Linked DNA regions of Saccharomyces cerevisiae S288C. The gene in region 1 interacts genetically with each later gene. Each region holds a gene or a part of one and is shown on either strand. Other genes may lie near its edges. The genes, in order: GND2, YKL183C-A, DPC25 and YFL064C.

Region 1 (3,952 bases):
CCAATGTCTAAACCTCTTTCCATTGCCTTTTCTAAAGCGTATACTAAACCATGAACGTCTGTTTGCCCCATGTTTAACCCCTGTCCAGCGAGAGGATGTGTCGTATGTGCTGCGTCCCCAACAAGGGCAACTCTATCAGTGCAATAACGATCTGCATGTGTTAATTTTAAGGGAAAACGTGCTCTTGTCTTATCTATTATACTAACAACTCTTGGTGGGTAAATTTCATCAATATCCGACTCGTCCTTCAACGTGGCGTATATTTCCTCAGTTCTGAATTTAATATCTTCTATCAATTTATCGGTGTCCATAGAGCCATCTTCCAATGTACGGTAATAGTAGTTCATGTCTGCGTCTTCCAAGACAAAAGCAGCATTGATAAGTGCAGTGAATGATTCTGGAGGTAATGACAACAAAAGCCTCGATAAACGTTCAGATGAACTCCAGACTAAAGTAGCATTATTTTCAGGCATGGGTAAGTGTGCAATTGGACCAGTGGGTAAGAACCTCTGCCAGCCCCTTAGTTTAAAGGGAGGATACTCTAACTTCATGCTGGCCACAACACCATAGGCATTATACATCCAGCCCCTAGATGGGATCTGGGAAAATCTTCTGGTAGGAGAATTGAACCCGTCTGCACCCACTAGCAATCTCGTCTTGTATACTTCACCATTGGAAAGAGTGACTAAAGGCCAGGACAATGGATCATTAGGGTCGCTGTGTTTAATATTGACAACTTTTGTATTATCAATAATATCAATGGAGTCCTTCTTTGAATCGTACTGAGAAATTCTGTTGTATAAGGAGGCCTGTATATTTATAATTTCAATCATACAAAGCATGGAGTCCCTTGCCAGATCCAAAGTAGCCTTAGAACAACCGTCCGTGACATAGAGTCCGTCATAACTTTGAATCCTGTCATGCATCAAAGTTGCCCCAGCGTTATTCTCAAGAAAATGAATAGATCTAGGCGTAACACTGACAATCCTGTTCGTAAAATAATCTGGGGGTGAATTATAAAAGTCCGATAATTTATCTTTTAAGTCCACCATATCGACTAAAGTTGTCTTTAGATCTTTTAATTGCGGAGAATTCTTAATCGATGCAGCTAAAGTCAAACCTGCAGGACCCCCACCTACGATTAATACATCTGTTAACTTTGGAGCTGAAGATTTGGCTGTTGCCAAACCCCTCACCAAAATACGCCGAGTAAGCATAACTTTTGAAAAGAACATGCCTCTGTGTCAATCGATACAAGGTTCACTGAAAGACCAATTTGAGTTACTGAATGAAGAAAATTATCGCCACAATTATATTTATTCCTTTTTAATGTCGTATCACAATTCCAGAAGGGATATTTCTCAGAAACAGTTTAAGATCTGCGTGTTCCTTCTGCAAGAAGAAGGGAAAAAAAGAAAGGAGAAACAATAGCAGCATAAATCTTGTTCGATAAAACAACATCACTTTTTCTTGAAACTTCAAGGGTTTGCCTCCTTAGCTTAGTGGTAGAGCGTTGCACTTGTAATGCAAAGGTCGTTAGTTCAATTCTGACAGGTGGCAGTTTCCTTTTTATTTGTCAGTATTAATAATTGAGGCGCCCCTAATTTTTTTGGCACCGCTCTCGATGAAAAAGTAGAGACGTCAGAAATTGAACGTTTCCTCTAGGAGTTTATTAACTAATAACCCCGAAAAATGGCTCTTTAACCACGAGTGCCCACGGAGGTTATCTTCACCCCTATTTTCATTTTAAATTTTAGATCACTGCTAGGAGTTAGCTCAAATATATATATATATATATATATGGAGACAACGTTTGAAGAATTCGTAGGTGCAGGTGAGCATATTGCCGGATAAGTGTAGTTACGCAACTACAATTAAAAAAACACGAGGAACAGAATGTCAAAGGCAGTAGGTGATTTAGGCTTAGTTGGTTTAGCCGTGATGGGTCAAAATTTGATCTTAAACGCAGCGGATCACGGATTTACCGTGGTTGCTTATAATAGGACGCAATCAAAGGTAGATAGGTTTCTAGCTAATGAGGCAAAAGGAAAATCAATAATTGGTGCAACTTCAATTGAGGACTTGGTTGCGAAACTAAAGAAACCTAGAAAGATTATGCTTTTAATCAAAGCCGGTGCTCCGGTCGACACTTTAATAAAGGAACTTGTACCACATCTTGATAAAGGCGACATTATTATCGACGGTGGTAACTCACATTTCCCGGACACTAACAGACGCTACGAAGAGCTAACAAAGCAAGGAATTCTTTTTGTGGGCTCTGGTGTCTCAGGCGGTGAAGATGGTGCACGTTTTGGTCCATCTTTAATGCCTGGTGGGTCAGCAGAAGCATGGCCGCACATCAAGAACATCTTTCAATCTATTGCCGCCAAATCAAACGGTGAGCCATGCTGCGAATGGGTGGGGCCTGCCGGTTCTGGTCACTATGTGAAGATGGTACACAACGGTATCGAGTACGGTGATATGCAGTTGATTTGCGAGGCTTACGATATCATGAAACGAATTGGCCGGTTTACGGATAAAGAGATCAGTGAAGTATTTGACAAGTGGAACACTGGAGTTTTGGATTCTTTCTTGATTGAAATCACGAGGGACATTTTAAAATTCGATGACGTCGACGGTAAGCCATTGGTGGAAAAAATTATGGATACTGCCGGTCAAAAGGGTACTGGTAAATGGACTGCAATCAACGCCTTGGATTTAGGAATGCCAGTCACTTTAATTGGGGAGGCTGTTTTCGCTCGTTGTTTGTCAGCCATAAAGGACGAACGTAAAAGAGCTTCGAAACTTCTGGCAGGACCAACAGTACCAAAGGATGCAATACATGATAGAGAACAATTTGTGTATGATTTGGAACAAGCATTATACGCTTCAAAGATTATTTCATATGCTCAAGGTTTCATGCTGATCCGCGAAGCTGCCAGATCATACGGCTGGAAATTAAACAACCCAGCTATTGCTCTAATGTGGAGAGGTGGCTGTATAATCAGATCTGTGTTCTTAGCTGAGATTACGAAGGCTTATAGGGACGATCCAGATTTGGAAAATTTATTATTCAACGAGTTCTTCGCTTCTGCAGTTACTAAGGCCCAATCCGGTTGGAGAAGAACTATTGCCCTTGCTGCTACTTACGGTATTCCAACTCCAGCTTTCTCTACTGCTTTAGCGTTTTACGACGGCTATAGATCTGAGAGGCTACCAGCAAACTTGTTACAAGCGCAACGTGATTATTTTGGCGCTCATACATTTAGAATTTTACCTGAATGTGCTTCTGCCCATTTGCCAGTAGACAAGGATATTCATATCAATTGGACTGGGCACGGAGGTAATATATCTTCCTCAACCTACCAAGCTTAAGGAGTTAAAGGCAAAGTTTTCTTTTCTAGAGCCGTTCCCACAAATAATTATACGTATATGCTTCTTTTCGTTTACTATATATCTATATTTACAAGCCTTTATTCACTGATGCAATTTGTTTCCAAATACTTTTTTGGAGATCTCATAACTAGATATCATGATGGCGCAACTTGGGCGTATCTTAATTACTCTGGCTGCCAGGCCCGTGTAGAGGGCCGCAAGACCTTCTGTACGCCATATAGTCTCTAAGAACTTGAACATGTTTCTAGACCTATTGCCGCCTTTCGGATCGCTATTGTTCATCATGGATATTTGCCATCTCGTCTTACCGACATCAAAAGGGTGTGTGCATATAGCAGCTATCATCCCACTTATGCAACCACTGGCAAAACTGTTTATAAAATGGACCCAGTTTGCGTCCTTAGATGCAAATCGAGTAGAATCTAGCCATAGTCTTTCCTTGCAAAGTTCATAGGAACTCCAATATATTGCACTAAACGGAACGTCTCTCCACAGAGTGATCTCCAAACCTTTGAAGAGGGCCCGAGAAGGACCCACCATTTTCATTTCCTGCCTC
Region 2 (2,773 bases), on another chromosome or scaffold:
GAGCGAATAATAGAGCAGTTAGGTGTGGCGAATAAATATACTAAAAAGAGCGGAATCCTAGTCTATAATCTGATTTTCCGGATGATGTTCTTGTAGTTTCTTTTCTTTATATATTTTTCAGAAATATTCAAAGAGCATATAAGAATATATTTGACCTTGAATTGTATGGAAAAAAAGAATTAATAAATTGAAAAAGGAAGAAAGAAAATTCGTTTAAAAAAGTTGTTTGTTCTTCTTTGTAATGTAAGTGATAACAAGTATGAAAAGGCCCAATGTACTTTTTTATATTTTTCCCTTGGTTCTTTTTCCTTATCAATCAATACCTTTTTTTTTCTTATATTTTTAGTTTTCCCCTATAACTTTGTTGAAAGCCGTTTATATATATAGATAATGATATATATACCCAGTTTTAGTTGGTCCTGCAGAATAGAAGGAAAAAGGAAAAGTGTTTGGAGAAGATGGTTCAATCGATAAAAAGTATGCCAAAAATGCCAAAATGCCGACTGTAATCTCTGATTATTGTCGCAGTGAATCGTTCAACACTTTTCGGTGATTGGGAAAGGCACACTTACTGTCAGACCAAAAGCGTTAAATAGCAACAACGTATTGTTCGCGATTATTTGTATTTTTCAACAATTTCTTTTAACTTGTGCGACGGAAAGATCGCTGTTGCGTAATTATGCTTGGCTGGGCGGCATGTGAAGTTTTTGGCCGTCGTTTGTTGGAGGCCAGGGGAGTAGTGAACCGTGCCTGCACCTCGTGTATCGTGATGCGGAGCAGACGCTGCTATAACCCGGCCTCCGAGGAGCCGTGGGTGCACGGGCATGGAAGGCTGATGCGGACCTTCTACGGGTTTTTTCACATGCTGCCGTTTGCTGAAACATCTTAACTAAGCCTTCGCGCGGCCATACGGGCCCTCAAGACATTCATTACTTGGTATAGAAAGGTATATACGAAGGCAAATAGCCATATTCGTAGAGGACGAGACCGCATAGTACAGCGGGATGTTCCCATAATAGATGTTGTTCATTCATTGTCTCTGGAGTTCTTTCTGCCAGCAAGATTTTGATTTGCGTAGAACTCCATAGACATACTTGCTTCTGGACCACCCCTAGAGACCACGTTGTCCATAACGAGGTCGCCATCCAGATCGTCTGCCAGCCCGTCGTTCTGATACACGGGCGGCCCGTGAAGGGTGTCTCCAAGCCCAGAATACGTGGCGTTGAGATCTTGCGCACCCTCAAACGCCATGCTTGGATCTTGGTATTGTTCCTGGTCTTGATCTTGTACGTCCTCACCGTGCAGGTCCATGCATACGGCTAGTGCTTCGTTACAATTGTTTACCAGGTCATCGCCCCTGTTCACGCCGAAGTTTTCGAAGGTGAAAAGGGTTTCGATTTCGTTGTTATAATGGCGATCGTATATTGAATATTTGGGCCTGATAGTCAATTCCACGCTGCGCACGGTGAAGGCATGTGCTTCTTCGCCGTCGAATTCGCAGGCCTGTGGCGCGAGGCTTTGGTAGAGCATGTCCAACACTTCGTCTCTTTCCAAAGTCAGCAAAATTTCTAATTGAAGCCCTTCCCTACCATCTGGTAGCCGTCTTGATGCATGGTACAAAACGCTGCTGTAGGGAATTTCCAGCCCATATCCCAAGCCATTGAACCAAATGATAATGCAGCTGTTGAGTATAAACAGGTCTGTGCCATACTCACTGGTGTCTTGTGGGTTGGCTTGATTGGACAAATGAGAGCTCGAACAAGGTGTCAGGGAGCCTAGTATCAGGTCCCGACCTCCGCCAAAGAGTATTATGTATTCTTCATTATTCAGTGCAGAAAAGTTGCCGTTGAATCGCGGCTGCGTCTTCTTGAATTGGTTATATGGTATGACGTTTTCGACCGATGGTTTGGTCCTTGCAATTTGGCACTTTGGTTTTTTTTTCATCATTTTTCTTTTTATTTTATGGTTGATGCTTCTTTTGAAATAAATATTCGTCTATCACTGTAGCTATGGTCTATCTTGGCCTGTGTTGAAGTATGGTGAACAATCCGAAGTAATGGATGTATTCAAAGATCTTGCTATACCGTAGTAACGTTCTGTTCATGAACTTTTTCTCTGTTTTTGTATGTACAATTGGTACTTTATTTTTGGTTTTCGCAGATGTCTATGTTCTTGCGTCGGCATTTTTCCAAAGTAAAAAGGAAAAAGAGACAAAGTTTAAGCATTTACACTACCAAAAAAGATCTTGTTTCTTTCTAGCAAATATACACTAAACATAAAAAAAAATTATAAAAAATTGTAAAAAAAATATAAAAAAATACTTTTGTGTACAATGGCGTACAGTGGTGGACAGGAAAAATGCCAGAATTTTCTTGAATCATCATTCTCTGACTCTTAAATAGCGTGTATAACTCGTTCATGAACACTCAAATTCTTAGTGACAATGGTTGCATTCAGCCTTTTCCCACCCCCTCCGTCTCTCTTGCGAAAGTCGTGGTTAAATATATCCTTCAATCGAGTTCAGAGTCTATGTATACTATATCCGCAGTCTGCTCAAAGCCGTTGAATTGAGTAGCCGCCGATGATGTGTAGGCACCCAGGGCAGGAAAATAAAACCAATCACCGACTATAACATCATGCTTCATGTAATACTCTTTGGCAATACAATCCAAACCATCACATGTGGGTCCCCAGATGGAAACTTTATATGGATACTCAGATCTTGTTTTGTTGATAGAGTCGAGGACCGCAGTAGTGGATTCAAAATCGTCGT
Region 3 (2,832 bases), on another chromosome or scaffold:
CTCATATATTCGGGGTTATTTATTTTTCGTTGCTTGAAGTAAAGCCTTTAATACACACTTAGTATTTAAACACTTAAGATTTACGAATCACAGATTCTAAATTTGTATTTAATAAATTGATTCTAAGTACAGGAAGTATCAAGGGGGGGGGTTGACAGATAGAATCACACCTTGATTAATTTAGTTCCTGATGAACAAGCCAACTTGACCAATCAAACCCTTTCGCGGCACTTTTTCTCTTAGCTCTGCTTGATACATCGACTGGGAACTTCTTCTCTTTGAGCCAACTAACCTCAATCCCTTAAAGATTTTGTAAACCGCAGAAACACCTGGTTGTTTTCGCTTGTTGGCAAAGGTTAATAACACAGTAACTTTCAATCTTGTTCCGAAGTGCAGAGTGCAGTTCCCTGTGTGTTCAAGTGACATACGGCATTTGAATACACTACACTTATCGTCATGTCAAAACAAGTGTTATAGAAGCAGCGTTAATATAATATTAGTACCTGTACAGTTTTAAACTCAATTGAGTGCAAAGATCTGATGCATCCCATTTTAGTTTCTCATAAATTATTGCTTTGGTTCATAGTTCAATTGTAAGCATTATTAAAACAACTGCTTCTATTTAGACAATACAAGAACGCGATCTTTCCAGTAACTGCCTAATCTGAAATTATGTTTTTCAGTTGCGCCTGTGGCCTACACAACTTGCATAATAAGCAGTTAAAAATAACTCCTAATCTTACTAATCTTGTCGAACTAGACTAGCTGTAATGATCTGTCATATATAAGTTAATATTCAACATCGACTGTAATTGTCAATTCAATCTTGACAGCAACGATTGAAGTCATCGCCTCGCCGTAATTGAAAAAAAAATGTAAGATGAATAACAGCTAAGAAAGATAATAATTTTTATGAAAGAAGCATCTGATAGAGAAGAAGCACCAAAAATGGTGGAAAAAAACTATAGTACAGGTTTTAGGAAAGCCCACGGAGAGAAGGATCAATCAGTGACTAAGCCAATCTCGTTAGATGGTAGAACAGGTGAAGTAATTGTTAGAAAATCCACCGGGAAAACTAAAATACGTAAAGGTCAAACGGAAGAAGAGTATACACAGCAATTGCAGCACTACTTCGAAGTAGAACAAGGCCCTGTGCGGACAAAGGTAGGATGGATGGATGAGGTAGATCCCTTGGTTGAGATCCGGGAAGGCAAGTACGATATCTCCAATAAGCATCAGCGACAGGTGCTTAGTGGTTTCTGCCATCGTTTATTTTACCAATGTAAGTACAAGGAGTGTCTGGATCTCAGCACCTATTTTCTGGGGCTCTTTGAACCGTTCAACGTGAAGAATAAAATGAAGAGGGAGCTTGAAGAGTTGGAATATATGATCGAGCGATGTCGTGGGCATGTATTATAAGCCCGAATCAGATACTCAAATTTGAAAAAAGATATCTTTCTCCTCCGACATGGCCGAACTCATTTACATAAATAGCATAAATTAAACAGAATAATAATACGTAAATTACAACAGTCAGAGGGTGCATGAAACCGTCATTAGATAGAGACGTGATCAAAAGTAGAAAATGATAAGAAATCAGGGATGGTCATTACTTTACAGAATTTATCCGGTGCGGAGGTTCACAAGATACTCCAGAGTAGATATGACTTTTGAAGGAAACACTCAAGATATCTCTACTTCTGTCGAAGAAAGAATGACCACTGTTTTTGGAGGACGCTTAAAGGGTGAACCACCAAGATCCACAAGTAGAGTGCTTAGCGGCGGAACGAAGAAAATAGCAGGTGTCCAAGTGCCTGCAAAACCACAAGAACCCGATAACTGTTGCATGTCAGGTTGCGTTAACTGTGTCTGGGAGATATATAGCGAGGATTTAAGAGACTGGAAACATAGAAGGAAAGAGGCTGCGGAAAAGATCGCAGGAACTAAGGAGAAGTGGCCTAAAGACTGGAATCCACCTTTGGGATTGTTACATATGGAAAATGTCCCTGTTGAGTTACGTGAAAAGAAGCTGGAAACCGATAGCAAAAAAGCAGAACAACCTCATGATTTATCTGCTATCAGAAGTTTGTTCCCTAAAAGAAAAGGGCCTCTGCCCAAGAGTGTATTGGCAGCCAAGAGGAAAAATATTGCTTTGAGACACAATTACGAACAGAAAGATGGAGGAGACCAATCAGTCAGTGAATCAGATGCTGATGAAGGCTGGGAAGATATTCCTGTCTACGTTAAAGCCTTTGCAGAGTTTGAATCAAAGAAAAGATTACAAAAAATTCGCCGACAGGAAGAAATAAAAAAGAGGACAGCTTTGGTTTGAAGCAAATATATATTATTGAAAAGCCTATGTACAATATTTGCGGTCTTCTTTGATCTTGGTAGACTTTATGGATGGAGAATAATAAACATACATATATTTCACTTAGAGGGTTTAGGAGACTAATGCGTGAATACGCGCTGGCATGTCCCCATTCATGCATACATATATTCGTAAACATACACATATTCATAAAAATTTTCAGTTATATTATATTATAATCTTTTTTTAACTATACAGAGAAGATATTAAAAAAAATGTATCCAAAGTGAGTTAAAAAAATCGGAAAAAACAATAAAGATCCTTTTCTAGTTACTTTGCTGCATTAACATTAGTCCATGTCAACATCACCTTCAGTGTCCTTCTTTTCTTCCTTCTTTTCAGCTTCTGCCTTTCTTTGAGCAGCCAACTTTTCAGCCATAGCAGCCATTTGGGATGCTTCTTGCTTAGATCTTATAGCTTGCTTCTTTTCTTCTTCTTTAGCCAAGTATCTACCTCTAATA
Region 4 (2,736 bases), on another chromosome or scaffold:
CACTACGTCTTCCGCATTCCGAGTACTAGAGAATGAACAATGGTAGTCGCTTTCAAGGCCTAACCATTGAATCCAGCGCTCGGAAGTGAGTCCGTCAAGCGTCTTTAGTCGAGGCTCCGATGAACCGTTCTTGTTGTATCGTCGACGTATACGTTGCGCTGTAGCTCTGGATAACGGTAAGCGTATCACCGTAAGCTCGTCAATTATTTTTGAGAGCCGCGGTCATTTTGTTAGTATCTCTTCTCAACTTGGGCAGCACACACGCAAAACATCACCCAATCGGTCCTTTTTGTTCATCATATCGTTACATATCTGTGAAAAGTACTTTATCTCAATGGGTTTACGTGGGCATAGATCACGCTTCAGCCGCTCTGTGTCGACTTTCTTTTCGCCAGGTAAACTTGCTTGGTATGCAGAAAAAATCGATAGCTCATCTACGTGTAGTAACAAAAACATGTGGGGTGCCAAATTGTACCCATATTTCCTTATGGTGCTTTTCTGAAGACTCCTTACAATAGGTGCGCCAGAAACAAAGTCAGTGAAAGTACGCATCGTAGAGCTGTCGTTCGGCCTGGCACTCGCTATTTCGTGACAACGTTCCAGGACACGGAAAACTCAACTCATTATAGTATCCTCTGTTGAGGTAAAAAAGAGAAAGGGTATCGTAATCCTTTCTATTGAATTTCAAAGTATGCACTTGAAACAACGTGTAGACCATCAAGTTGATTTTCTTGGGAATAAGATACTTTGAAGGGATTGGTCCGCCCTGGAAATCTGGTTCGTCTTCAACAAATGTCAGGAACTTTTGTACATTTTTCCCGACCATGACGGAAATGACAATTTTTTCAAAAGACCTTTTCCTATTCATTGCACCAGTTCTGAATTTTACCACTTTGATTAGGCCAGACTTTTCGTCTTCGTAGAATGACCGCACTTCCGTGGGGATCGATTCAAATAAAGTTATTGAGGGACAATGTACCAAGTCGTTTTTGTTATTTAGAGCCGACTCAAACTCGTCAAAGTTTGCTTTTTCAAACTTACGCCTATCGGAAACTTTCATTTTATTTTTGTAAGTTTCGAAATTAACAATAGTATGTTGATTGTTATGCTTTTTGACAAGAAATCCATCAATATAAACAAAAGATTGTCCAGTTTCCGTCTTATCATCATCTAAGAATGTAATAATTAAGCTATTGAGAAGATGCAGAATCTGCGCTATGCAGGTGCAAATCTCCAGCAGCAGCAAAGAAAATTCAGTTAATAAGAAATCTCACTAAGATAAGCGACTGTCTGTCCCCTTCAAGCACAACATAGAAAACAGAAGGATGTCTCATTCATCGCTTGATTTCCGGCCTGCAAAAATAAAGTAGTCGGTACGCACTTTCGTTTTCAATTTCCATGGTGCACAGTATCTTAACTATCTGCTTAGTCGAGGAGAACCAGGATTCGTGGATATTCTCTTGGATACTTCAAACATGGACCTACGCTTAGCCTGCGCTTAGCCTACAACTTCTTCCGCTCTCGAAAAGACCAATATAATAGAAAGTTATAAATTACATTTCCTTATTAGGTATACGACCTCGCGCTTCGAAGTAGAGGAGCCCTTTTTGGCGTACCTACATATGGCGCGTCAGACAGACAAACTTCCCCCAAAAATGTATTACCCCGCCGAATAAGAAAACAGACCCATTCACCCACGACGTATCAAGTTACTTCCTTGGTGCAATGTCCCACTATAAAAAAATTCCTTGACGCTAGATCGTTGGACTAAAATCTGCGTCCCAATCGCCTAAACAGGAAATATTGCCTATTTTCGTACAAGGTTACTTCCTAGATGCTATATGTCCCTACGGCCTTGTCTAACACCATCCAGCATGCAATACAGTGACATATATATACCCACACACCCACACACACCACACCCACACACCCACACCCACACACCACACCCACACCACACCCACACACCACACCCACACCACACCACACCCACACCACACCCACCACACCCACACCCACACACCACACCCACACCCTAATACTACCTCAACCCTACCCTAATCCAACCCTTCCATCCTGTCTCTCAACTTACCCTCCATTACCCTGCCTCCCCACTCGTTACCCTGCCTCCCCACCACCAACCCACAAATCCACCATAACAGTTACCCTCCAATTACCCATATCCAACCTCACTGCCACTTACCCTGCCATTACCCTACCATCCACCATGTCCTACTCACTGTACTGTTGTTCTACCCTCCATATTGAAACGTTAACAAATGATCGTAAACAATGCACACATACTTACCCTGCCAATACCCTACCATGCCCCATCTGTCATACTCACCATCACTTGTATACTGATACGGCATACGCACACGGATGCTACAATAGTATATACTATCTCAACTTACCCTACTTTCACATTCCACTCCATGGCCCATCTCTCACTTCATGAGTACAAATGCACCCACATCATTATGCACGGCACTTGCCTCAGCGGTCTATACCCTGTGCCATTTACGCATAACTCCCACTATTATCCACATTTTAATATTTATATCTTATTCCGCGGCCCCAAATATTGTATAAATGCCCTTAATACATACGTTATACCTCTTTTTCACCGTATACTAACCACTCAATTTATATACACTTATGCCAATATTACAAAAAAATCACCACTAAAATCACCTAAACATAAAAATATTCTATCCTTCAACAATAATACATAAA

The links.
Region 2: mutations in GND2 (region 1) and YKL183C-A together harm fitness more than expected from each alone (negative genetic interaction), as found in Saccharomyces cerevisiae (one large-scale study listed by BioGRID).
Region 3: mutations in GND2 (region 1) and DPC25 together harm fitness more than expected from each alone (negative genetic interaction), as found in Saccharomyces cerevisiae (one large-scale study listed by BioGRID).
Region 4: mutations in GND2 (region 1) and YFL064C together harm fitness more than expected from each alone (negative genetic interaction), as found in Saccharomyces cerevisiae (one large-scale study listed by BioGRID).

The regions. Positions count from the first base shown.
Region 1 is NC_001139.9:1,002,728-1,006,679, forward strand, and holds GND2 (phosphogluconate dehydrogenase (decarboxylating) GND2), read left to right. Parts: upstream 1-1,896; coding exon 1,897-3,375; downstream 3,376-3,952. Other genes in the region: putative N,N-dimethylaniline monooxygenase COQ6, read right to left, coding at 1-1,235; MTM1 (Mtm1p), read right to left, coding at 3,478-3,952. UniProt on the Saccharomyces cerevisiae protein: Catalyzes the oxidative decarboxylation of 6-phosphogluconate to ribulose 5-phosphate and CO(2), with concomitant reduction of NADP to NADPH.
Region 2 is NC_001143.9:97,895-100,667, reverse strand, and holds YKL183C-A (uncharacterized protein), read left to right. Parts: upstream 1-2,060; coding exon 2,061-2,273; downstream 2,274-2,773. Other genes in the region: LOT5 (Lot5p), read right to left, coding at 1,027-1,947; ornithine decarboxylase SPE1, read right to left, coding at 2,511-2,773.
Region 3 is NC_001148.4:347,534-350,365, forward strand, and holds DPC25 (Dpc25p), read left to right. Parts: upstream 1-1,585; coding exon 1,586-2,332; downstream 2,333-2,832. Other genes in the region: YPL108W (uncharacterized protein), read left to right, coding at 913-1,419; adenyl-nucleotide exchange factor SSE1, read right to left, coding at 2,661-2,832.
Region 4 is NC_001138.5:2,787-5,522, forward strand, and holds YFL064C (uncharacterized protein), read right to left. Parts: upstream 1,061-2,736; coding exon 536-1,060; downstream 1-535. Other genes in the region: YFL065C (uncharacterized protein), read right to left, coding at 244-552.